Linked DNA regions of Xenopus tropicalis. The protein of the gene in region 3 interacts with the protein of the main gene of each other region in a pairwise test. Links are inferred from orthologs where the notes say so. Each region holds a gene or a part of one and is shown on either strand. Other genes may lie near its edges.

Region 1 (3,500 bases), on a different chromosome or scaffold from region 3:
TAAGCATGCTATATATCCCATTACCCTTTTATGTTGTGAAACATTGCCACAAACGCTCACCACTGCCCCCAACTGGGAGAAAAGGCTTCATGCCCAAGTTTCATTATATTTGTTCCTATAGTTGCAATTATTTTATCTGTTTGCCCTAGAGTTTCCAGTATCCCCAAACCATTGTACAGTGCTTTGGAATAAGGTGAAATATTATAAAACTTTAAGAACTATAACAAATAAGCAATAGACTGATATTATTAGCCTAAACACAGAACAAATTTATTTTGCTAAATTTAAGTATTAATGTAGCCATTCTTAGCCAAAATATAAGCCCTGAAATAGCTCAGTGTTGAGCAGAGGGAAACATATGTCAGCTTTGAAGTTCAATGCCCAGAGGAGAATCTTATTCTATAAAGACAAAAAGGAATATCTTGCCAGTATTTTTTACTGTCTCCTGGAAGAACTACATGCTTGAACAAAGGCACCTTTTAGAGGAATTTGATGCAGCCAGTATATTTATCTTGATTTGACTGCATGGAGTTTCTTAATTTTCATGGGAAGGAATCACCACTGCCTCGCTATAAGAAACTAAATCCCTGGTGCATGCATTTCAGTGCGGTGGTTTAGAAAAGGGACTAGTGGTAATGCTTTGGGGACATGCTGTAAAAGCTGGGTTTCGTTCTTTAAGCTGTTACTCACCTGCCATCTGGCTTTAAGTCAGGGCACTTTTAAAACTATTTTGGTTGGTTCTGTTCCATATTATGTGAGTTGCTGATTCCAGGGCAACTGTTGGAGGTCAGCCTGAAGCACACTGGACCCATGAGTTTACCTGTAAGCATGGGTTGCTGGATAAAACTTCAGCAGGACCTTTCTCTGTTCCTGTCTTCTCGGTGCATACCCCAACCACTCCTGTTCAGATAGGGCCCATGTATCACCCCCTCTATACAAGCATAGGTAATAAATAAGATAAGATAATAAAGGATATTTAAGGGGGCTTGGCATCTCCAAAAAGATATGACCTGTTATATATATTTGCCATTCAGTGCCCTTGAATGAGCCAGCCTCTTCAATAAAAATTTCAATAAGGATAAAATATGTGACAAAGTTAGGGTTAGAAATTTTACCTGCTGTGCTACCTATATTTTTTACTGTGGGCCAACTAACAAAACTAATAGGTGGATTTTACATAAAAGTGTGTCCCAATGCATTTTTATGTATACACCAGAGCTTACTGGTGTGTGCAACATGGAAGAATAAAGAAGGTAGATGTTCATAACTATGCTGGGCAGGTTTTCTCAGTCAACCAAAGCATCTCTGATGCAACTCTTTCAACAGAGGCAGAAAAGAAGCTATGCCAAGGCATAAATCGCTTTATACATTATGATTAAAAAAAAAAAACTCAACAAAGTAATACATGCATTGCATTTGTAAAGTTTGTAAACTTTTTTTTTCATCCACTGTATAGTAGTTCCCCTTTTAAGGGCAAGAAAAGGCAAATTTAAACCCTGATGCCCCTTTTTGGAAAAAAATTGTACAGGCCCAGAGAAATTACAGGGTGGCCACTGACACCTTACAGAGTTCTCAAGTGGCTGGCTTAACTTAATTTGGCTGTTCCGAAGTAAATATGTAGTTCACACATTTTAGTATGGTGTAGACAGCACAAGTTTAATTGGTCATCTTAATTATGAAGACCTATATTACAACTTAAAAAAAATACGTTTCTTTGTTCGAGAATATAATTGTAAATGGTAAAATGAATTATCTGCTATGTAAACAGTGTAATTTAGAAATAAACGTATACCATAAAAATCAAGACAGTATCCATTTAAAGAATCTACAACCTGTCCTGAATATAATCCAAATGTTTACTCCATTCCAGAAAGAAATGTCTGTGTAATACATGCCCTTACACCTGTTTAAGACCTAAGGCTAGATATTAAAACATAAGATTCCTTTACTTTTCTACCTTATTTTGTTAATGCAATTTTGCCCACCCTCAAGGCGCAGCAAGATTTTTTTTAGCTTGTTTATGCCCAAGTTTGTGAAGAAGAACTACATTAGTCATGCAATTGTCTACTGTATCAATCTTTTCTGGCCAAAATTCCAAACTAAATGGTCTAGTATGGTATAATGATCTTACAAAATAACGTCAAAAAGAATGTGAAGGACTTTACATGTAATGATAAATGCAAATTATCATGTCACTCAACATATTGCACAAAAGTTGCAGCATGTGAGAAATTTGTGCGACAGCTAAATCACACCGTATTGTTTAGAATTGCTGACATTGGACATATTGAATGTGCAGCCATCAGACATATTGCTGGGGACAACAACTGTAAGTATCCACAATCAGAGTTGTTAAAGATGCTGGTGCAGACACATTATACTTTTTAGGAGTATATTATTAATCTGTTGCTTTTCTTGAAAAGTCAGGAATTGAATATATATGATCTGGAAAATCCCCTACTGAGAGCATAGCAGTAGATAGTGATAGTAAGAGCTTAAAGTACTGACTATTAAAGATAAAGATGCTTTGCAAAAATGTTTTTTTCTCACAGGGCCTGTTCAAATTCAGACGATGTTCTGAAGGTGAACATCCCCTTTAAAGTTTCATTTTCACCTACTCCCTGGTGAGCTCTGTGAGGGGGTCTCCAACTCTTAACTGTTCTAATCCCATTAGTTGATGCATTTCTTTGGCCCTGTTGAGCATAATCCCAGCTTTCATTAAAAGCAACTGTTATAACTGATACAATGTTTGCTAACATTAGATAGAAGACACCGAAAAAGTATCAAATTGTAATAGTCTGCATCTGGATTAATGAGCTGCTGGACTGAAGCACCAGAGAGAGGAACAGCAACTTTAAACTTCAATATTAGAAAAAATAATCTCTCTTAAAACAATTAAACTGAAAAAAGTGTTTGGAAGATGAGCAACCACTAGTTTTAGATATACCTTGATTGGATAACTTCTTTCTCCATCTCTTGTTTCTTTCTCAGTTCCTCATTTGCTTGCCTTAGGCTTACCAACTCCCTTGCAAGGTCTGTCCATGGTTCACAGATTGGAGGATGAGATGTAACCGACACAGAAGGTGGAGGAACAGACACACGACGACGGTTTTCAAAATGGGAAGGGGGAATCAGCCCACCTAGACCTAAAGAAGAGAAAGATAACATCATACAAAACAATGAAGATGTCATTGTCACAGTCTTTATTGTGAAAGTCATGACATGTTTAACCACTCCCAAAGCTCTCCTACATAACACCCTGTTACATTTTAAAGATCTCCTGAAACTCACCCCTTTTTGAACACAAATCATGACGGTCTTTTGGAAAAAAGAGTTAAAAATTATGACTGGTATGGCATCACACAGCTCAGTGAAAAGCTAAGCTGAATGGGCACAGCTTATCCACCCTGGTAAAAACTACCTTGCATAACAATAAAACGAATTCATAATTCCTGCCAGAGCCTGTTAATGTGTAAAAGCTGGGAAGTTGAAAAAATCCT
Region 2 (4,098 bases), on a different chromosome or scaffold from region 3:
ACTGCTACTGTAATTCCCTTCCTGGCCAGGCCTCCCCATACTGCTACTGTAATTCCCTTCCTGGCCAGGCCTCCCCATTACTGTCTTACTGTAATTCCCTTCCTGGCCAGGCCTCCCCATACTGTTACTGTAATTCCCTTCCTGGCCAGGCCTCCCCATACTGTTACTGTAATTCCCTTCCTGGCCAGGCCTCCCCATACTGTTACTGTAATTCCCTTCCTGGCCAGGCCTCCCCATACTGTTACTGTAATTCCCTTCCTGGCCAGGCCTCCCCATTACTGTTACTGTAATTCCCTTCCTGGCCAGGCCTCCCCATACTGTTACTGTAATTCCCTTCCTGGCCAGGCCTCCCCATACTGCTACTGTAATTCCCTTCCTGGCCAGGGCCTCCCCATACTGCTACTGTAATTCCCTTCCTGGACCAGGCCTCCCCATACTGTTACCTGTAATTCCCTTCCTGGCCAGGCCTCCCCATACTGTTACTGTAATTCCCTTCCTGGCCAGGCCTCCCCATACTGTTACTGTAATTCCCTTCCTGGCCAGGCCTCCCCATACTGTTACTGTAATTCCCTTCCTGGCCAGGCCTCCCCATACTGCTACTGTAATTCCCTTCCTGGCCTCCCCATACTGTTACTGTAATTCCCTTCCTGGCCAGGCCTCCCCATACTGCTACACGCTAATGTGTCGGTCGGTACATGGCCCTGCATGTGAGCCATCCCTCTGTATCATGCTATGGGCGTGTGGCTGATAATAAGCCCCTGTGTGACAGCGCCCCCAGTGGGGCAGTTCCTACAAGCCGTACCTCCGTGCCGCATCCTCTGTCCCACACACACCTGCAGCTACACGGGTTACTACTAACAACACTACATACAGGGCGCTCCGCTTCACTCACTTCCCCACATCTTCCTCCATCTTTTCCACTAGCTGAGGTCACTTCCGCAACTTGTTGCCACAGAAACCGCCCGCACAATCATCTTGGGTCAAGTTAGGCACCGCCCAGCGCCAGGGCATGCTGGGAAATGTAGTAGCAAGCTATACTGACCTACGCCGCAGCTTTACGCATTTTAGGCAATAACAAACTAAACTCCCGGAAACCCATGGCGCTGTCCCTCGGCATTAGTTCCCTGGTCATCGCTTAAACCTCGCTAAAAAGAAGGAATTAATACTAGCGGACATATTTAGTTCTGGATTTACCGGTTAGAAAGTCGTGGGCTTTAACATGACCTTTTTTTATAACTGCAGACTTTTTACTCTCTAAAAATGTGTGTACGCCAGAACAACTATATCTTATGTGAACGCAGTCAGGCACCTGTGGTAATACACCTCCAGTATTAAATATGTTCTCAATTTGCATCATATCGCTTCCAACAGAGATTTAGTCACTTTCCGTGAGGACGATTCGAAGCTCAACTACACAATCAAGTTTCTGGAATAATGTTTTGCCAGTATGCAACATGGCGCCCACATACTCAGCTTCCGCTTTGTCACTATGGAATCTAGATTGTGTCCTAGGAAGTGACGTCTGTAAACAGCAGCGAGTTGTATCCGTGGCAGCTGAAGCCGAAGGGTACCGGGAGGTAAGAGCAGCTGGTGTGGGGCAGTAAATGTGACCGTTCCGGGGACTTTGGGGCTAATGGAATAAAAGGCGATAATTCTGATACTGAGCAAGTTACTCATAGCATCCAGTCTGCAGGTGGCATGTCGTTGTTACAAGCAAACATCTGGTTGCTATGGGTGACAAGCCCTTGGCAAAAATTCCCAAATTCATTGCGCTCCACAGAATTTTCAGCGTTAACAGGGCAGCTTTTGCTGATTGGCAGCTCCACCTTGTGGGACTGGGGTAGGAGACAGTCAGTCAGCAACAGATACAGCGGCATAGTAGCCTGGAACATTCCTACACTAGTATGTGTCTAATAAATAACACAATTATCTTCATTATCAGCTTTATGAGATGTACCTAGTGATTGTATTAGGCTGAGGCTGCTTACAGGGCTAGTGTAGGGCAGGCAGGACAGAGAGGGGCAGTTCTGGGGCACTATGGGGCAAACTGGCCTTTGTGCTCAGAAACCTGCAGCCACTGTGCATAAGGAAATCTCATCCTGTCTGTGCACTTAGTGCATCCATGGCAGGGGAATAAGGTAAGAGTAAGAGGCTTGATGCTATAGGGACACCCATATTTGTGTGAGCATGATGGGATCTCTCTGTTATCCTATTCAGGATAGCCACATAGTGTTCAGGGTCTGAAAGAGATCCATCATCTTTGTCCCTCATCACAAAACCGAAGGCAGCGTTTGTTAATGTTTGTATTTTTTTTTCATGATTCATATTTTCATGTTCTTTTGGTTTTTGTTTTGCATTTTAGTTCTTTCAACAAATGACTAGACACTTGGGGGCACATTTACTTACCCACGAACGGGCCGAATGCGTCCAATTGCGGTTTTTTCGTAATGATCGGTATTTGGCGATTTTTCGGAAAATTATCGCGACTTTTTCGTTGCCATTCCGAATGTTGCGCAAAATCTGGCGATTTTTTCAGAGCGTTAAAACTTAAGCGAAAAGTTGTGCCTTTTTCGTAGCCATTCCGAAAGTTGCGCAAAATGTTGTGATTTTTTCGTAGCGTTCGGATTCATTCAAGCTTCAGTATGGTGACTTTTCTTGGGCCAGGTTGGAGCTGCAGGGTGCCATTGAGTCCTATGGGAGGCTTCCAAAATCTTGCTAAGTCTGAAAGTTTCGCCCGCCGCTTACGAGCGTTCAATACGAAAAAGTCGCGACAAGATACGAGCGAATCTTAATGGCTACAAAAATTCGCGTTTTTCGCGCAAATCGTATTGGTAACGAAAAAGTCGCGACAATTTCCGAAAAGTCGTAAAGGCGCTGAAAAAGTCGCAAAATGTTCATTTTCCAATCTGAATTTTTCCAATTCGAATTCGTGTCTTAGTAAATCAGCCCCTTGGTTTTAGTGGAAATGAGTTTTTTCATGGTTTTTAGAAACCTCTAAAACCATGAATTTTAGAGTAATATAGTAAATTGCAAATGTGCCCCAGCATTTTGTGCCAGTGTGTGGTATTCCCTGTTACATCACACAATCATTACTAAGATGGGGGTTTTTCCATGCTCTGTACTGCTAAAGACATAGTAAAGCAGCCCTCTCAAATTTCTGAACAGACAATAAAAACATGTTTATTTGTACCACTTTTGTAATCAGCCCCTTTGACCTAGAAACATCAGATTTTGGGGCTAACTTTCTGTATAGATGCTTTATAGGCTCAGGTTAAAAGGCTGAAGTTCATTGATAGCAGCATCTCATGTGTAAAAGATGTATTACACTGATAGGTTCTTGAATTTGAAATAAATAAATAGATCTTCTTGATGAGTAAAGCCAAATAGATCTCTCATTTGATGCAGAATAATGGCTTGGGCAGCAGATGCCACTGTTTTTACTGAAATCTATAGATAAGGTGCTTTAATGTATGTGTTACTCCCACTCCTATCAATAAATATCCAGTTAATGAGAATGCCATAGTCCATAACATACTTACAGGTAATTTTCAGGTGGACTACCACTTTAAAGTAAAACGTAACCCCAAATGGCTTCTGTTAATTTCTCTTTTGGCAAAGAGCTACTCTGCAGCTTCCCATAGCCAACAGTTGTTTGTCACATAAATTGAACCCTTCCTCCCTCAATAAGTTACTTTCTAGGTGCTGTCACGACATGAGGATTTTTAAGAGATCTTAAGATGCCCATTTAGTCGCTTGATATATTTTAAGAATACTGTGGTGGGGGTATCTTTTAACATTTGACCAATAAGTCTGCTACCACAACTGTTGTTACTTCTCAGATGTAGAAGGCAACCGCAGGATCGTCATGTGAAAGAACCACAATAATAGCAGGAGTCAGAAGGATAGGTGGTTCTTAAGGGATTTGCCTGGCTGGTGTGAGAGAAGCTGGGGGAAATGAGCAGAATGGGCTGCTCTGATTTCTTGGTGTGGTTGATGACTGCGGGCACCATTCCCTTTATTTATTTATTGGTTTGTGGCAAATCCCTCTGGTGACATCACAGATGACTGGGTTGGGCGTGGTTATATAACTGAAAGCAT
Region 3 (3,942 bases):
TTCCAAAAAGCATGAAAGTAAGCCACCTGTGACATAACAAATGTGAATTTATAGAATAGGCAGATAGAACAGTCACATTATGGTACTTTGCTTTGCTAGTTAGTCATATGGACCCTAAAGGGACAACTATGGCTTTTGTTTTTGTTTTCTCTATTTTACTTTATATTAGTTATTTTTCTCTGTATACTTTTTGCCTGACCCATGGATATGGGCCAATACTATTGGTGCCAGTTTTAAAAGTAGCACAAGTGAAACAGCAGTTTTTTTCTCTGGTAATCCTTAAACAATAAAACCTCAAACTTACAATATTCGGTGCGTGTATGGTATGTCGGCGAGTCGACCGATATCGCAAGAAGCTGCTGATAACGGCCAACTCGCTGATCGGACCAGTTTGAACATTTTGATCGGGCGCCATAGAAGGCGCCTGACCAAAATCTCCCTTCAGCGCTGAATCGGCAGGAGGTAGAAATCCTATTGTTTCTACCTCCTTACCTGCCGATTCAGCCCTGAATGGTGTGTGGCGGATCTGACGATGTTTCGTGCGACCGATGGTCGCCACGTGTATGGCCAGCTTAAGGTGGCAACCCTATCTAGTGCAAAAAGTGCTACTGTGCTCTCTGTGATAGCGATGCACTAGCCCCTTCTGATGCAAAAAAAAAAAAAATGGTCTCAGGGTGGCATTATAGGTAAAACACCTCTGCCCAGGTCCCTTCTATAATATACTTTTATAAAAGTAAAAAAATTGAGCAGCCACTGAATACAAGGTTTGTAATAATAATTAAAAAAAAACCAACAACCCTGCAGCCAGCAGGAGAGGGCTGAGGCGACACATTATGCTCCCTGTACAAAAGAGTTTGCGGCACCCATAACCAGTTCATTTGTTACTGCACTTCCCTTCCTGCTCAAAAGCTGCAATCTGCTGCCTACTAATACAAACGAATTAAGAAACTCATCTGGCATTGAGTGGGTTAAGTCTAAAAAGCAAGTGCTTTGAGTGGCGTTAGTCACATGAATACGTCGGAAACAGAAGCAGTTCTGTAGTCACTGAATCATTATTAAGCCAGCAGCAACTTTAGCCATGGAGGTTTTATAAGCAAGAGAGGTTCTGTGTGCCGCTCTGGCTTCAGTCTTCTCTATGGTACGGAAGGAATCACATGACAGACCATGTCACAACACAAGGTAGTGCAGTGAGCAAGGGGAGCTGGGCTGATGGATGAAGACGGGCTGCCTATAGTGGGCTCTGGGATTGACCTCACTAAGGTGCGTCTTTTAGGGGGAAGTGAAGGGGAATGGGCAGATTTAATGTGTATTGTAATGTGTGTTCATGTGCATTTTTCTAGTCAGTCAGCTCTACACTAACCTGTAGTCATTAAGGGAAGGCAAGTTACACTTTTACTGTGTATTCATTCATTTTATTTACTGTGCAGTCATGATATTGGTACTGTAATGTTCTTAGCATATCCATATGGCTCCTGTCTTAACTGACCTGCTGTCCCATATACTTGATTATTTACTGTTACTGCACTTGTCTGTAGCTGATGTTTCATAGTGCTTTGTGGTGTTACACTTGCTGTAAAGATGTCCAGTTGTTCAAATTGTGGCTAGGCTTTTCCTTAATGGCACATACATCATGTGTTTCAAAAAAAGCCATTTCCACGAAAGCATTGGTCAGCTCCATTCAGACTCAGACACAATCGGGCTTGTTTATGGCTGCAGTTGTGATGGTGCTAATCAAGGATGCAATCATTAAGAGATTCATTAAAGGTATTTGTGCACTTGCTTATATTTGAACTAAGTAACCTTGTGCCTGTCTGTGCATCTAATGATGCAGGGGAACCCTAGTGCTACCTCTAGCTTGCAGGTGGCCGTAATTCCAGGGTTCCCATTGTGAGCTGCATCAACAGGCACAGCAAACTTACACCCAAAAAATCACATGCAGGTGTCTTTTTAACACAGAGTGGTGGAAATAATGCAGTAGCCTCTACAACTATTTTAATCACATTTGCGTACTTCAGAAGCAGTAGCCCTCTCATTAAGGGTGAAGTCACACTGAGCTACTAGTAGCAGCTACTTTTTCACAGCTACTAAACTCCAGAAAATACCTTGCCATAGACAATAACGGTGAAGGCACACAGAGCTACTTAGTAGCAGCTACTTGTCAAGGCTACTAAATGCCAGAAAATACCCAGCCTTAGACAATACCGAGAATTGCCCCTGCTAAAACATACGTAGAGACAGTAGCCACGACAAGTAGCTGCTACTAATAGCTCTGTGTGTCTTCATCTTAACACTGAAGTACATTGCCTCTTCCGTTTATAAAACATCTCCGCTGGCTTAAGGTCTTAAAAATGTGTTTTTCAAAGGGCTTTATTATGTCATACTGCTGCTTAATAATCCCAGGGATACAGCATCCCTGTTAACAGCGAAGCCCTTCTACCCACTATTATTTTTTGATTAATCCTGTAGACATAACTGTCCTTTGCTGTTGTGCAGAGGACTCTGGTTAGAAGTGTATACACACAGCTAGTATACACGGCCGTCAGCCATGGGCTGCAGAGTGAGATATCCTAATTAACTGGGCTTCTGTATCTTCAGGATTGTGGAATAATTCTATGGCATTTGTTTGAACTCACACTTTTAAGTTTAGTTACCCTATGGAGAATTGGATAAAATCTCTTTTCATTGCAAACTATTAAATCCTTCCCTCAATATCCACTCTTTTTAAAGGTGTGTCTCAATGATGTGCACTAACTAACCCCGATTGTTCAGCTGTGTAAAGGTGGCCATACATGGTAAAATTCACTTGTATGATGGCGTCGCTTAACAAGTGAATCTTTCCCCGGATATGCTCACCTTGAGCGGGTGATATTGTGCTAATGTGATTGTTTGGCCCTAGGGCCAAAAGATTACATTAAAATGAACGGGATATGAGAAGTTGGAGCAAGTACCGCATTAATGATCGGGGAGTCCTGTCCCAATACACAGGCAGATAAGCTCGGTCTAAAGGATCCGAATTAGCAGCTTAAATATGTTGTGTATGGCCATCTTTACATCTTGTCATCCTCGAGCAAGGAGCCCTGCAAAGATGCAGGCAGCTGTAACTTCAGAACTGCAAAAGTGCCTCTGCTGGTCATTATGTGCCAGGCCCCATAGAGTTATTCTGATTAGAGTTTTGGAAATATTGCCTTGGTCAAAAAGCCTTTCAGTTTGTCATTAGTAGGCTAGTTCTATTAAACATTTCACCACTCATCGGAGGAGCTTCTAATTCAAGTTGCTTTAGATTTAACACAACTAGGTATTGTTTTCCATGGCCTGGATGAATGAACCCTTTATATACCTGTTCAAACTAATATCCGTTGCTTGCACTGTGTTCTATACCTTTTGCAAATGCAGTATACTGACCTTTTTTCTTTTATTTAATAAACCCTAGGTCCCACCTATTCAGCAGAAAAGAACAGTGGCATTTTTGAACCAGTTTGTTGTGCACTCTGTTCAGTTCCTTAACCGGTTTGCTACAGTTTGTGAAGAGGTACTGTATTCCTAGCGTGTTCTAGCTTTCCCTCTTTTCTACAGCATTGACTGGAAACCAAGTGCTACTTAGTCTATTGCAGCTTGCACTGTTCAGATGAGAGAATGTTATGGTAAATGTTATCGTTTGAAATCTCAGTACATGTACATTTTGGGGCTTTCAGGTAATTTAATGGCTGCACGGGCTTGGTGGGAGCTTACATTACATTGCCCATATGAACAGGGTCTTCTCTATATGCTGCATAGGCCAGTGATCCTATTTAATTTGCATCTTTGATTATTTACCCCTCACAGAGCTACAGAATATGTCCATTATTTAGACCTTTAATGTTGGTACTTTGTTTTTATTGTTTTAGAAACTTTCTGCCTTGTCCCTACGTATTCAGCAGATTGAAACAACCCTTAATATTTTGG
Region 4 (4,225 bases), on a different chromosome or scaffold from region 3:
AAGATGGAGACAGTAGGACAAGATGGGGACAGTAGGACAAGATGGGGACAGTAGGACAAGATGGAGACAGTAGGACAAGATGGGGACAGTAGGGCAAGATGGAGACAGTAGAACAAGATGGAGACTGTAGGACAAGATGGAGACAGTAGGGCAAGATGGAGACAGTAGGGCAAGATGGGGACAGTAGGGCAAGATGGAGACAGTAGGACAAGATGGAGACAGTAGGACAAGATGGGGACAGTAGGGCAAGATGGAGACAGTAGGACAAGATGGAGACAGTAGGGCAAGATGGAGACAGTAGGACAAGATGGGGACAGTAGGGCAAGATGGAGACAGTAGGGCAAGATGGGGACAGTAGGGCAAGATGGAGACAGTAGGGCAAGATGGGGACAGTAGGGCAAGATGGGGACAGTAGGGCAAGATGGAGACAGTAGGGCAAGATGGAGACAGTAGGACAAGATGGGGACAGTAGGGCAAGATGGAGACAGTAGGACAAGATGGGGACAGTAGGACAAGATGGGGACAGTAGGGCAAGATGGGGACAGTAGGGCAAGATGGAGACAGTAGGGCAAGATGGAGACAGTAGGGCAAGATGGAGACAGTAGGGCAAGATGGGGACAGTAGGACAAGATGGGGACAGTAGGGCAAGATGGAGACAGTAGGACAAGATGGAGACAGTAGGACAAGATGGGGACAGTAGGACAAGATGGGGACAGTAGGGCAAGATGGGGACAGTAGGGCAAGATGGAGACAGTAGGGCAAGATGGAGACAGTAGGACAAGATGGGGACAGTAGGGCAAGATGGGGACAGTAGGGCAAGATGGAGACAGTAGGACAAGATGGAGACAGTAGGGCAAGATGGGGACAGTAGGACAAGATGGGGACAGTAGGGCAAGATGGGGACAGTAGGGCAAGATGGGGACAGTAGGGCAAGATGGAGACAGTAGGGCAAGATGGGGACAGTAGGGCAAGATGGGGACAGTAGGGCAAGATGGGGACAGTAGGGCAAGATGGGGACAGTAGGGCAAGATGGAGACAGTAGGACAAGATGGAGCATCAGCTTGAGGCCTGGGTTACATGGTTGCTATGGGACTAAGGCAATGAACACCAGCAGGACCCACTCTAGGAGCTACTGGTTACACAGTAATACATTGCACCTGTCACTCACCTACCCCAGACCCACCCCCCTGGCCCCAGACTGAGGCTACAAGCTCAGTGGGCGGTACCTGATACATTCTGAGTGACAGCCTCAGAGCTGAACTAGACTAAATACTTTTCTCCCCTCAGCACTGCCCCTGCCACTCACTCACATAAGCTCCTCCCCAGACCCCGCCCCTTCAGCTGTCCGTGCACCTGTCACTTTTCAAGCCGGGAGACACAGGGTTAAGCCATAGTCGGGGGCGGAGCCAGATGTCCCTCAGACACAATGAGACGTTCTGTTTGGCCCCGCTCCCTGGGGGAGAGCGCTGATTGGCCAGCTGGAGTCACGTGGGATGCGAGAACTGGAACCTGTTGCTGTAGAGAAGTTTGTGAGGTGAGTTTGGGGCAGCGGGAGCGGTACCGGCACATTAACCCCCGCACTGCCGGGACATTCCGTCCGTAACCCCCGCACTGCCGGGACATTCTGTCCGTAACCCCCGCACTGCCGGGACATTCTGTCCGTAACCCCCGCACTGCCGGCACATTCTGTCCGTAACCCCCGCACTGCCGGGACATTCCGTCCGTAACCCCCGCACTGCCGGGACATTCTGTCCGTAACCCCCGCACTGCCGGGTCATTCTGTCCGTAACCCCCGCACTGCCGGCACATTCTGTCCGTAACCCCCGCACTGCCGGGACATTCTGTCCGTAACCCCCGCACTGCCGGGACATTCTGTCCGTAACCCCCGCACTGCCGGGTCATTCTGTCCGTAACCCCCGCACTGCCGGCACATTCTGTCCGTAACCCCCGCACTGCCGGGTCATTCTGTCCGTAACCCCCGCACTGCCGGGTCATTCTGTCCGTAACCCCCGCACTGCCGGGACATTCTGTCCGTAACCCCCGCACTGCCGGGTCATTCTGTCCGTAACCCCCGCACTGCCGGGACATTCTGTCCGTAACCCCCGCACTGCCGGCACATTCCGTCCGTAACCCCTGCACTGCCGGGACATTCTGTCCGTAACCCCCGCACTGCCGGCACATTCTGTCCGTAACCCCGCACTGCCGGGACATTCTGTCCGTAACCCCCGCACTGCCGGCACATTCTGTCCGTAACCCCCGCACTGCCGGGACATTCCGTCCGTAACCCCCGCACTGCCGGGTCATTCTGTCCGTAACCCCCGCACTGCCGGGTCATTCTGTCCGTAACCCCCGCACTGCCGGGTCATTCTGTCCGTAACCCCCGCACTGCCGGGTCATTCTGTCCGTAACCCCCGCACTGCCGGGTCATTCTGTCCGTAACCCCCGCACTGCCGGGTCATTCTGTCCGTAACCCCCGCACTGCCGGGTCATTCTGTCCGTAACCCCCGCACTGCCGGGTCATTCCGTCCGTAACCCCCGCACTGCCGGGTCATTCCGTCCGTAACCCCCGCCACTGCCGGGACATTCTGTCCGTAACCCCCGCACTGCCGGGTCATTCTGTCCGTAACCCCCGCTCTGCCGGGTCATTCCGTCCGTAACCCCGCACTGCCGGACATTCTGTCCGTAACCCCCGCACTGCCGGGTCATTCTGTCCGTAACCCCCGCACTGCCGGGTCATTCCGTCCGTAACCCCCGCACTGCCGGCACATTCTGTCCGTAACCCCCGCACTGCCGGGTCATTCTGTCCGTAACCCCCGCACTGCCGGGTCATTCCGTCCGTAACCCCCGCACTGCCGGGACATTCCGTCCGTAACCCCCGCACTGCCGGGACATTCTGTCCGTAACCCCCGCACTGCCGGGACATTCTGTCCGTAACCCCCGCACTGCCGGGTCATTCTGTCCGTAACCCCCGCACTGCCGGGACATTCTGTCCGTAACCCCCGCACTGCCGGGACATTCCGTCCGTAACCCCCGCACTGCCGGGACATTCTGTCCGTAACCCCCGCACTGCCGGGACATTCTGTCCGTAACCCCCGCACTTGCCGGGTCATTCTGTCCGTAACCCCCGCACTGCCGGGACATTCTGTCCGTAACCCCCGCACTGCCGGCACATTCTGTCCGTAACCCCCGCACTGCCGGGACATTCTGTCCGTAACCCCCGCACTGCCGGGACATTCTGTCCGTAACCCCTGCACTGCCGGGACATTCTGTCCGTAACCCCCGCACTGCCGGGAACTACATGGGGCCCCAAGGAACTGTCAGCCAGGGAACTACATGGGGGCCCCAAGGAACTGTCAGCCAGGGAACTACATGGGGGCCCCAAGGAACTGTCAGCCAGGGAACTACATGGGGGCCCCAAGGAACTGTCAGCCAGGGAACTACATGGGGCCCCAAGGAACTGTCAGCCAGGGAACTACATGGGGGCCCCAAGGAACTGTCAGCCAGGGAACTACATGGGGCCCAAGGAACTGTCAGCCAGGGAACTACATGGGGGCCCCAAGGAAACTGTCAGCCAGGGAACTACATGGGGGCCCCAAGGAACTGTCAGCCAGGGAACTACATGGGGGCCCCAAGGAACTGTCAGCCAGGGAACTACATGGGGGCCCCAAGGAACTGTCAGCCAGGGAACTACATGGGGGCCCCAAGGAACTGTCAGCCAGGGAACTACATGGGGGCCCCAAGGAACTGTCAGCCAGGGAACTACATGGGGGCCCCAAGGAACTGTCAGCCAGGGAACTACATGGGGGCCCCAAGGAACTGTCAGCCAGGGAACTACATGGGGCCCCAAGGAACTGTCAGCCAGGGAACTACATGGGGCCCCAAGGAACTGTCAGCCAGGGAACTACATGGGGGCCCCAAGGAACTGTCAGCCAGGGAACTACATGGGGGCCCCAAGGAACTGTCAGCCAGGGAACTACATGGGGCCCCAAGGAACTGTCAGCCAGGGAACTACATGGGGGCCCCAAGGAACTGTCAGCCAGGGAACTACATGGGGGCCCCAAGGAACTGTCAGCCAGGGAACTACATGGGGGCCCCAAGGAACTGTCAGCCAGGGAACTACATGGGGCCCCAAGGAACTGTCAGCCAGGGAACTACATGGGGGCCCAAGGAACTGTCAGCCAGGGAACTACATGGGGGCCCAAGGAACTGTCAGCCAGGGAACTAC
Region 5 (3,500 bases), on a different chromosome or scaffold from region 3:
CAGAAACGAATGCAAGACAAAAAAAAGGCAAAGGGTCTGGGTAAGTTGAAACCTTTAAAGTCAAGTATGCCATACTTGCCATTACAATCCCTGACCTGAGGTATTGTTCAATATTGTTTTCCATTGTTACATAATGAGACCGTTTCAGGACCACCACAATGCGTCTGCCTCAAACAATGTGGAGAATTGTTAATCATGTCTAGTAGCTAAAGATTTCTATAGACTAGGTGTTTCCAATCCATTTCTCAGTGGGCCCAGGTTATGTCAGGCTGTCAGCTGTTTCACCCAAAATTTGTATTTGTAGTATTTTAATTGTCTCACATTTACTGCATATACTTGGCAGTATTATTTCCAAATGTGTCCTTAAATTATTGATGTTAATATTTTTACACATTTCATCATAGGATAATAATTTTACTAACCAGCTTGTATTAACTTAGTTGTATTTCTTGACTGTTACCCTTTTTCTACCTATAAGTGGCAATGTAGAGTGTTGTAATGTGTATATGCATTTGAGATTAGTTTTTTTTTTTTTAAACCCTTTACCATAAAATGGTAGTGTGTGTGTGTGTGTTCTAGTTATTTTGCTTGTAGCAATGTTTCCAGATTGCTGTTATGTTTAAATCTGACAGATCCCTCATGTTTTAGGAAAGGAGATCACATTATTAATGCAGACTCTGAACACACTCAGCACCCCAGAGGAAAAGCTGACTGCCCTGTGTAAGAAGTATGCAGAACTGGTGAGGGACCATAAGTGCAATGGTTATTGATGACGTGTTAATCTTTAAGCTTATTTATATTGTGAGTGGCTGATCATATTGTAAATGTAATTTTCTTTTGTTTCCCTCTACCCAAGTTGGAGGAGCACAGGACATCTCAGAAGCAAATGAGGATACTGCAAAAAAAACAGACCCAGCTTATTCAAGAAAAGGATCTACTTCGTAATGAGCACAGCAAGGCAATCCTGGCAAGAAGCAAGCTCGAAAGTTTGTGCAGAGAGCTACAGAGACACAACCGTACACTAAAGGCAAGTACTCTGACTACTAAGTTCCCACTTACACAGGAGCATGCTGTAAGTTGATTGTGTTATTGGCCCATGCCCAACTCTACTTCATCTACATAGTATGCTGAGATACTCCCTATATCATTGCTGTCAGTTGGTTGTTTTGACTTTGTTGTTTTGAAGCTCAAACCTAGCATTTCTGCTCAGCCTTTGTATCGCATGTATTTGCACCTGCACAGGAGGAAGGAGTACAGAGGGCTCGTGAGGAGGAAGAGAAACGCAAAGAAGTAACCTCCCATTTCCAAGTGACGCTCAATGACATCCAGTCACAGATGGAGCAGCACAATGAACGTAATGCTAAACTGCGTCAAGAGAATGTTGAGCTTGCTGATCGACTTAAGAAGCTTATCGAGCAATATGAGCTAAGAGAAGAGGTGAGGGGAGAGAGGATTGTTTTTATTTGATAAAACAAAGCAATGGAATAATGTGGAATTAGCCACCAGGGTTAGTGACACATCTATTGATGATTTGTTATGCTTTGAGCACTCACTTCTCTCACTACCAGGAGATCACATAACCCATTGGGTAAATTCCCTCCTTTCAGGAGGCATGGCAAGGCAAGACAGAATTCGTGAAGCTCATGTTCCCTTTTTACCCCAATAGCTCACCCCTTGTAACATAAAAAGTGGTAGAATTCAAAGCAGAGGGAAAATCAAGTTTTCAAAATAAATTTTAATTCATAACTATTTGGCATACCTAAAATGTGTATGTAGTGTAAAATAACTATGTACTTGTAATAAGAAGAATGAGCCAAGCGTATTTTAAGGAAAGACTGCACTATGTCTTTACTAGCAGTCTCTAATGTAACCATCTTCCATTTTCCGTATATTTATTTTTGTTCCCTCCAGCACATTGACAAAGTTTTCAAACATAAGGATCTTCAACAGCAACTGGTGGATGCGAAGCTTCAGCAAGCACAAGAAATGCTGAAAGAAGTGGAAGAGCGTCACCAGCGGGAAAAGGAGTTTGTAAGTTACTACAGTTGAATCGATTTTTATATTTTATGATATGTTGCCCAAATTTTTGACCATCTCATCATTAAATGATGAGTGAGTTTAAAGGGTAATGTTATAATAGCTGAAATGTGTGCTTCTGGTCTAGTAACTAATTGGAACCAATCCAGATATTTACCAGCAGACCAGTAACTGCTCCCTGAGCAAACATTTAAACATTATAATACCCCCTGAAATATTTATATAGGTCAGTGTTAATTTGACAAAAACATCATCCTACAATTCTTGTCTTGCTGCTGCACAAGTAATTCTTTCTTATCACATCCTGCCTACAGTATCCCCCCCCCCCCCCACCCCTTTATTAGCTATATTTTTTGTGGCAGGCTGACCTTTCATGACTTAAGGTGGCCATACTGAGGCAGATTTAAGCTGCTAAGTAGAGTCCTTTTAGAAGTATTAGGCAGCTTGTCCTGTTTATGGGGACCCCCAACGGGGCTACCCAACTGAAATCTGGCAAGGTGTCAATCAGGCAGGTTTGATTTTTCCATCAGATCGGGGACTGCGGTTTACTGATGCAGTCCTCCCTGACAGTTTCTCTCACCTTTCTTAGGAGACGTTGGTTCTCGGTTTATTTTGTGTCCACCTTAGGCTTAGGATAAAAGGGGAGTTATGTCTTACTCTGAAATCCTTTTCTTCACTTTGTACTGTCCATAGGAGACAGAACTTCCAGTTAGGGGTAGGAAGTCCTGTTAGTCCTGCACCTATAAACACTTTGTGGCAATATCCATTGCAATGATTCATTTGCCCTTTGCACACAAATTCAATAAGTAAAAAGCTGCATTAACTGATACCCTGTTTACAAAGAGAGTTGCATCCACTTTGGCAGTGAACATGATGATCTGCATCCATACCTTGCACTTTGTGCTCACTTCATAAACGAGCCCTAATGTTCATTCCACCCTGAAGTAGGGAGCAGGAAATGGAAATAACCCTGCCCAACTACCTTATCCTGTCCTGTACTTTGGTATTCAACATGTTGAGCTATAATATAGCACCAGAAGAGATTTCAGCCTAAACAAAAAGGGAAAAAAATTCACCTAGAAAGCCACACAATGACCTCATCATACGCTGGCAGTGGAATCAGGACAATAGGATTTTAAGCATGATGTATACAGGGGTATAGATAAGATAATTAAGCTTTTTGTTCTGCAGCACCCCAGTTTGAAATTCAAAATCTGTTACTAATGTCTTAATTACTGGTACAGTTAAATGACTAACTGATAGATGAACAGAAAGCTAAATTACAAAAATGTAATGAAAATAAAATTAAAATATAGATTTAGGTTTAATACACATTTGGTTGCTGGTGTCCGTAATGTATTTTATATTTCCGTCTGTAGGAAGCAGAACTGAAAGTCAAACCGTTTAAGCAGATCGGGAACCACAGGCAATACAAAATGTAGACTTAAGCTGTGTCACACTTA
Region 6 (4,236 bases), on a different chromosome or scaffold from region 3:
TGGGCATTTTTGCGCAGGTCTTTCAGTTTGTCTAAATCAAGTTACAAAAATTTAATTTTTGTGCGCGCTATTTTAATTTGTGTGCGCGGGTTCGAAAAGTCGTGTGCGCGCGCACACGCGCACAGCTTAGAGGGAACAGTGCTTACTGCATATCTTAATTCCCAGATCCCTGCTTGCTTCTCTGAGATATGGTGCTGACAGCCTACAGCAGTGTGAAGACTACAGTGACATCACTGAAATCTCTCTTCCCTTCCTGTAGGCTGCCAGCGGCAGCCTTCCTATTCTCTGAGCATGTGTGTAACTTGATCCTGTCTCCTGTTCTGAGCTACACATGCCCACCAGCCAATCAGAAGCGGATCTGGCAGAGGGGAGGGGGGGAGGGAGTGAAACACATGTGCAGTATGAAGCAAGGAGGGAAAGGAAGAGAGAATACCTTTTTAGAGATGGCTGCCTGTTCTAGAAAATGTGAAGTAAGTGTGACTGAGTAAATATTTGATTAGGTGAGCCAAAAGTGTGGCGTTTTTACTAAACAATAGGAGGACTATTGGGCAGTATGCTTTTTAAATTTTGACTTGCATTCTCCTTTAATCTGAAGTCATGTAAAAGGGTATTAAGCAAATAAATGGAAATTCTGTTTAGCAGGGACAAGATCATAGAAGAAAATGTCTAAACAGAAACATTTTCAACTTCCGGGTTTATGTGGCAAAAAGTTTTAAGCATTCCGATTCAGTTCGACCAGAGACATGGGTTCACCAAATCCAAATCCTGCTACAAAAGTCAGAATCCCAAACCAAATCCTGGATTCAGTTCATCCCTACCTACTTCATACCTTACCTTCCTTATATTTACTTGAGGCTGTTGGACCTGGATAATTACTAATACATGTAATCAATTGAGAGACATTGTTTCACAATAGGCAAATAATGCGATATGCTAAAATTAAAAACTGTGACGCTTCATTACATGCATATTGGCTGTATAAGTATATTGAATACTTGGTCCTGCACTATTATTTTTATTCATTTATTTTTTAGTTTCGATTTTAAGGGGTCGAATAAAAAGTGGCCCTGCATTAGGATTGCTTTTCCCGGCAAGTTATGTAACTAAATAATCTTCATCAATACACATGTTTATGTTAAAAGCACCCATGAAGCGGAACAGATCTCCTAGAAACCTGGCGGCCCAACCCAAGCTTCTCAGCGTTGTAGTTCGTTTCCTAAGCGATTCGCTCCTGTCACCATAGAAACTACCTCGTCAACCACATCCGGCAACAACTTTGCGTTTATAGCCTCGTTCTAATACTACTACAACATCCTGTGGGAAATTCCTACTCTTGATGCCTATTGGTCAGCAGTCTCCTGAACTATCGCGATATTTCTTGAAAAAAAGCTTCTGCGGTGAGGGGTGGATTGTGTGGCCGGAAAGGGCTTTGGTATTGGAGAAGGATCCATTATGTCGGAGACAGATCCTAAGACAGTGCAGGACCTGACCGTGGTGGTGAGCGCAGCTTTTAGGGCGCGATGTGTTAATGATTATTAAATGATATAAAACTAGGAGCATGGTCCCGCAGTAATGGCCAGTCTGCTTGCAGATTGGAAGTCGCCTTTGTGGCCCTTCTGCCATTAATGTTTACATCTCCCATCACTCTTTTGCTTCTCTCTTTTTTTTTTTTTTTAATACAATTTTTTGTTTAAACTAGGGATTTACAAGACCTGTCATTTTTGATTCGACCAAATATTGAATCCTTTACAAAAGATTCAGCTGATTATAAAACCACAATAGAATCAGAATCTGTATATGTGGATTTGAGATAAATCTCCAATAAATTACACTAAACTGAAAAAGGGGCACAGCCCAATGCAGTAAAGACTTGGATTTAGTTGGAGCAGCCACATAGATGTGTCCCTATTTTAAAGGACAAGGTTATTTTTTCTGCTCCTTTTAACAAACAAAAATGCACTGGCCCCGGGGAACAACGCAGCTCGGCTTCACCATTTTACCTACCTTTGCAATGTGTTTATCCTAATACAGGTATGGGACCCATTATCCAGAATGCTCAGGATCTGGGGTTTTCCAGATAAGGGGTCTTTCTGTAATTCAGATCTCCTACCTTAAGTCTGCTAATAAAATTATGTAAACCGTAAATAAAACCAATAGGATTGTTTTGCCTCCAATAAGGATTAATTATATCTTAGTTGGGATCAAGTACAAGGTTCTGTTTTATTATTACAGAGAAAAAGATAATCATTTATAAACATTTTGTGAATTATTTGCTTATAATGCAGTCTATGGGAGAGGGTCTTTCCGTAGTTCGAAACTTTCTGGATAATCGGTTTCCAGATAAGGGATCCCATACCTTAACTTGTATGAATCTGAAAATTTTACTCTTCTGTGCATCTGAGTTTAAAGTGAGACACCTGGGAAAATGAAGTAAAAGTGGCATTGCAGTGCTGCATTGCTTAGTGATTTAGTAAGGGCAAGACTTGACTTGATTCGTTTTTAATTTTTGGAGTTTCACGAATCAATTTTTTAACAATAAAAATAGTGTTATCATTGTTAAATATTTGTATGTCATTAGCTGAAAACTTGCTGCTCGGTATATATCCTTTTTGGTTGTGCAAGACTTTAAAATGACCAATAACAAAAAAAAAAAAAAGGTGGCAGTACTTTGTAAATGTATTTAAATCTAATAATGTCTGCTCAGAATTGGCAAGTCATTTCATTCACCATTGTTTTTTTTTTTATAAAAATATTTTTCATTCCTAGAACGCTGTAGAAAGCAGTGAATTACAGTTGACAACCCCATTGGTGTACACAAAAAGCCCATTGTATTCTGAATACTTTATCTGTTGTCTGCTTGGCAAAGTGGGCCCTACGCGTCACTGCGATGTCCCACAGTTGCCCAAAGTTTCCTCTCAAGACAACTTTGGGCGACTTCGGGACTTCGCAGGGATGCATATGCCATCCCACCAGCGATTTACATTCTAGCCGGTGGGATGGCATTGCAGGGAGATTAGTCGCCCTCAGCCCTGTTGTATGTAACAGTACACTTAGAACAGTCAATAACCTTTTGGAACCAAGTGCTGTAATTTTAGGAAACAAACATTTCATTGATTTTGGCTACAATCACCATATATGTTTGGAGAAAAAAGAATAAGGGTCTGAAGAGCACCTTGCCACTAGCTTGTGGATGGTTCTGTTGGGGTTGTGTGGCGAGCCAGTGTGGATAGATGGAAGTATAGATTCTACCTATAATCAAAATGTTTTTGGTCAGTGCACTTCTCCAGGTGTCCCTAGTAAGGATTTAACACTCGTACTTGTGCAGAAGAATTAAATGCACAAACCAGTGACAACTGGCAATAGGTTAGTCACATTGCTGCATTATTTTTTTTCTAAAGGGATGTCCAAAACAATATGCACATAACATGTTTTTTTGTAAGTAAATAGTAATTGTGCTTTAAGATTTGCAAGGATTTCAGGGTTAATACTTTTTAACTGACATGCACGTAGCATCATGCCAACATGATAAAACATACATTTTTGGGGTCTGTGTAACCCTGTGCAAGAATCGCATTTCCTAATGCTGAATATGATGATCTCTTAAAGGGTTAAGTGTGTCGTTCCCTTGTTCCACTGTTAACTAAAGTTTCTCAAGTCCCCACTACCACACTCATTCCTCAGCTCATTATTCCTTCAATGGAATTTCTACCAAGACACAGAATCCTGCAGTAGTAGTTAAAGGAACTTTATCAGGGATCCCTGATAACTGCACATTGCTTCTGCATAAACTTCTTACTGCTCACAACAAAGTAGGTAAATGATCAGGGGGTGCCCAAACTTTTGAACATGACCTGACTGTATGTGGGGAAACCTATATTTGTATTGATCACATATAGCTTATTAATTACGTAATTTGTGACATTCTTATAAAAGTGTATTCTGGAACTAAAGTAGAATTGATTTACATTATATAGCCAAACATATCATCTGACATGAATCTGACATGATATTGTGGTTGAGGGTGCCAGGCCGGTCTTGCAGTTTAGATGTTGCTGTGGGTGGCTTTATATGGAAGGTTAATGCAGGTTGCTGCTGATTTACCTATACACTTGTTCCATAGAGTCATTGTATGGTACTGTATAACTTGACAAGACCAGTTCTGTATTGCGCTGCAATATACATGCTTAGGGTATTACTGCCCATGATTTATGTGTTTATCAATTTATTTGCTCACAA

Evidence for each region.
Region 1: the proteins of washc3 (region 3) and cchcr1 interact in binary tests that used the Homo sapiens proteins (3 or more experiments, as listed by UniProt). The link is inferred for Xenopus tropicalis from reciprocal best matches to the Homo sapiens genes WASHC3 and CCHCR1.
Region 2: the proteins of washc3 (region 3) and ift20 interact in binary tests that used the Homo sapiens proteins (3 or more experiments, as listed by UniProt). The two-hybrid records come from large-scale screens. The link is inferred for Xenopus tropicalis from reciprocal best matches to the Homo sapiens genes WASHC3 and IFT20.
Region 4: the proteins of washc3 (region 3) and pbxip1 interact in binary tests that used the Homo sapiens proteins (3 or more experiments, as listed by UniProt). The two-hybrid records come from large-scale screens. The link is inferred for Xenopus tropicalis from reciprocal best matches to the Homo sapiens genes WASHC3 and PBXIP1.
Region 5: the proteins of washc3 (region 3) and txlna interact in binary tests that used the Homo sapiens proteins (3 or more experiments, as listed by UniProt). The two-hybrid records come from large-scale screens. The link is inferred for Xenopus tropicalis from reciprocal best matches to the Homo sapiens genes WASHC3 and TXLNA.
Region 6: the proteins of washc3 (region 3) and hsbp1 interact in binary tests that used the Homo sapiens proteins (3 or more experiments, as listed by UniProt). The two-hybrid records come from large-scale screens. The link is inferred for Xenopus tropicalis from reciprocal best matches to the Homo sapiens genes WASHC3 and HSBP1.

Annotation. Positions count from the first base shown.
Region 1 is NC_030684.2:75,151,315-75,154,814, reverse strand, and holds part of cchcr1 (coiled-coil alpha-helical rod protein 1), read right to left. Parts: intron 3,147-3,500; coding exon 2,948-3,146; intron 1-2,947. UniProt on the Homo sapiens protein: May be a regulator of keratinocyte proliferation or differentiation.
Region 2 is NC_030678.2:47,412,886-47,416,983, reverse strand, and holds the start of ift20 (intraflagellar transport protein 20 homolog), read left to right. Parts: upstream 1-1,298; 5' UTR 1,299-1,577; intron 1,578-4,098. UniProt on the Homo sapiens protein: Part of intraflagellar transport (IFT) particles involved in ciliary process assembly. May play a role in the trafficking of ciliary membrane proteins from the Golgi complex to the cilium.
Region 3 is NC_030679.2:49,099,141-49,103,082, reverse strand, and holds the start of washc3 (WASH complex subunit CCDC53), read left to right. Parts: upstream 1-1,142; 5' UTR 1,143-1,209; coding exon 1,210-1,260; intron 1,261-3,430; coding exon 3,431-3,529; intron 3,530-3,884; coding exon 3,885-3,942. UniProt on the Homo sapiens protein: Acts as a component of the WASH core complex that functions as a nucleation-promoting factor (NPF) at the surface of endosomes, where it recruits and activates the Arp2/3 complex to induce actin polymerization, playing a key role in the fission of tubules that serve as transport intermediates during endosome sorting.
Region 4 is NC_030684.2:145,127,653-145,131,877, forward strand, and holds the start of pbxip1 (pre-B-cell leukemia transcription factor-interacting protein 1), read left to right. Parts: upstream 1-1,425; 5' UTR 1,426-1,534; intron 1,535-4,225. UniProt on the Homo sapiens protein: Regulator of pre-B-cell leukemia transcription factors (BPXs) function. Inhibits the binding of PBX1-HOX complex to DNA and blocks the transcriptional activity of E2A-PBX1.
Region 5 is NC_030678.2:86,595,709-86,599,208, forward strand, and holds part of txlna (alpha-taxilin), read left to right. Parts: coding exon 1-40; intron 41-648; coding exon 649-740; intron 741-856; coding exon 857-1,027; intron 1,028-1,242; coding exon 1,243-1,437; intron 1,438-1,911; coding exon 1,912-2,031; intron 2,032-3,500. UniProt on the Homo sapiens protein: May be involved in intracellular vesicle traffic and potentially in calcium-dependent exocytosis in neuroendocrine cells.
Region 6 is NC_030680.2:62,632,707-62,636,942, forward strand, and holds the start of hsbp1 (heat shock factor-binding protein 1), read left to right. Parts: upstream 1-1,436; 5' UTR 1,437-1,452; coding exon 1,453-1,497; intron 1,498-4,236. UniProt on the Homo sapiens protein: Negative regulator of the heat shock response. Negatively affects HSF1 DNA-binding activity. May have a role in the suppression of the activation of the stress response during the aging process.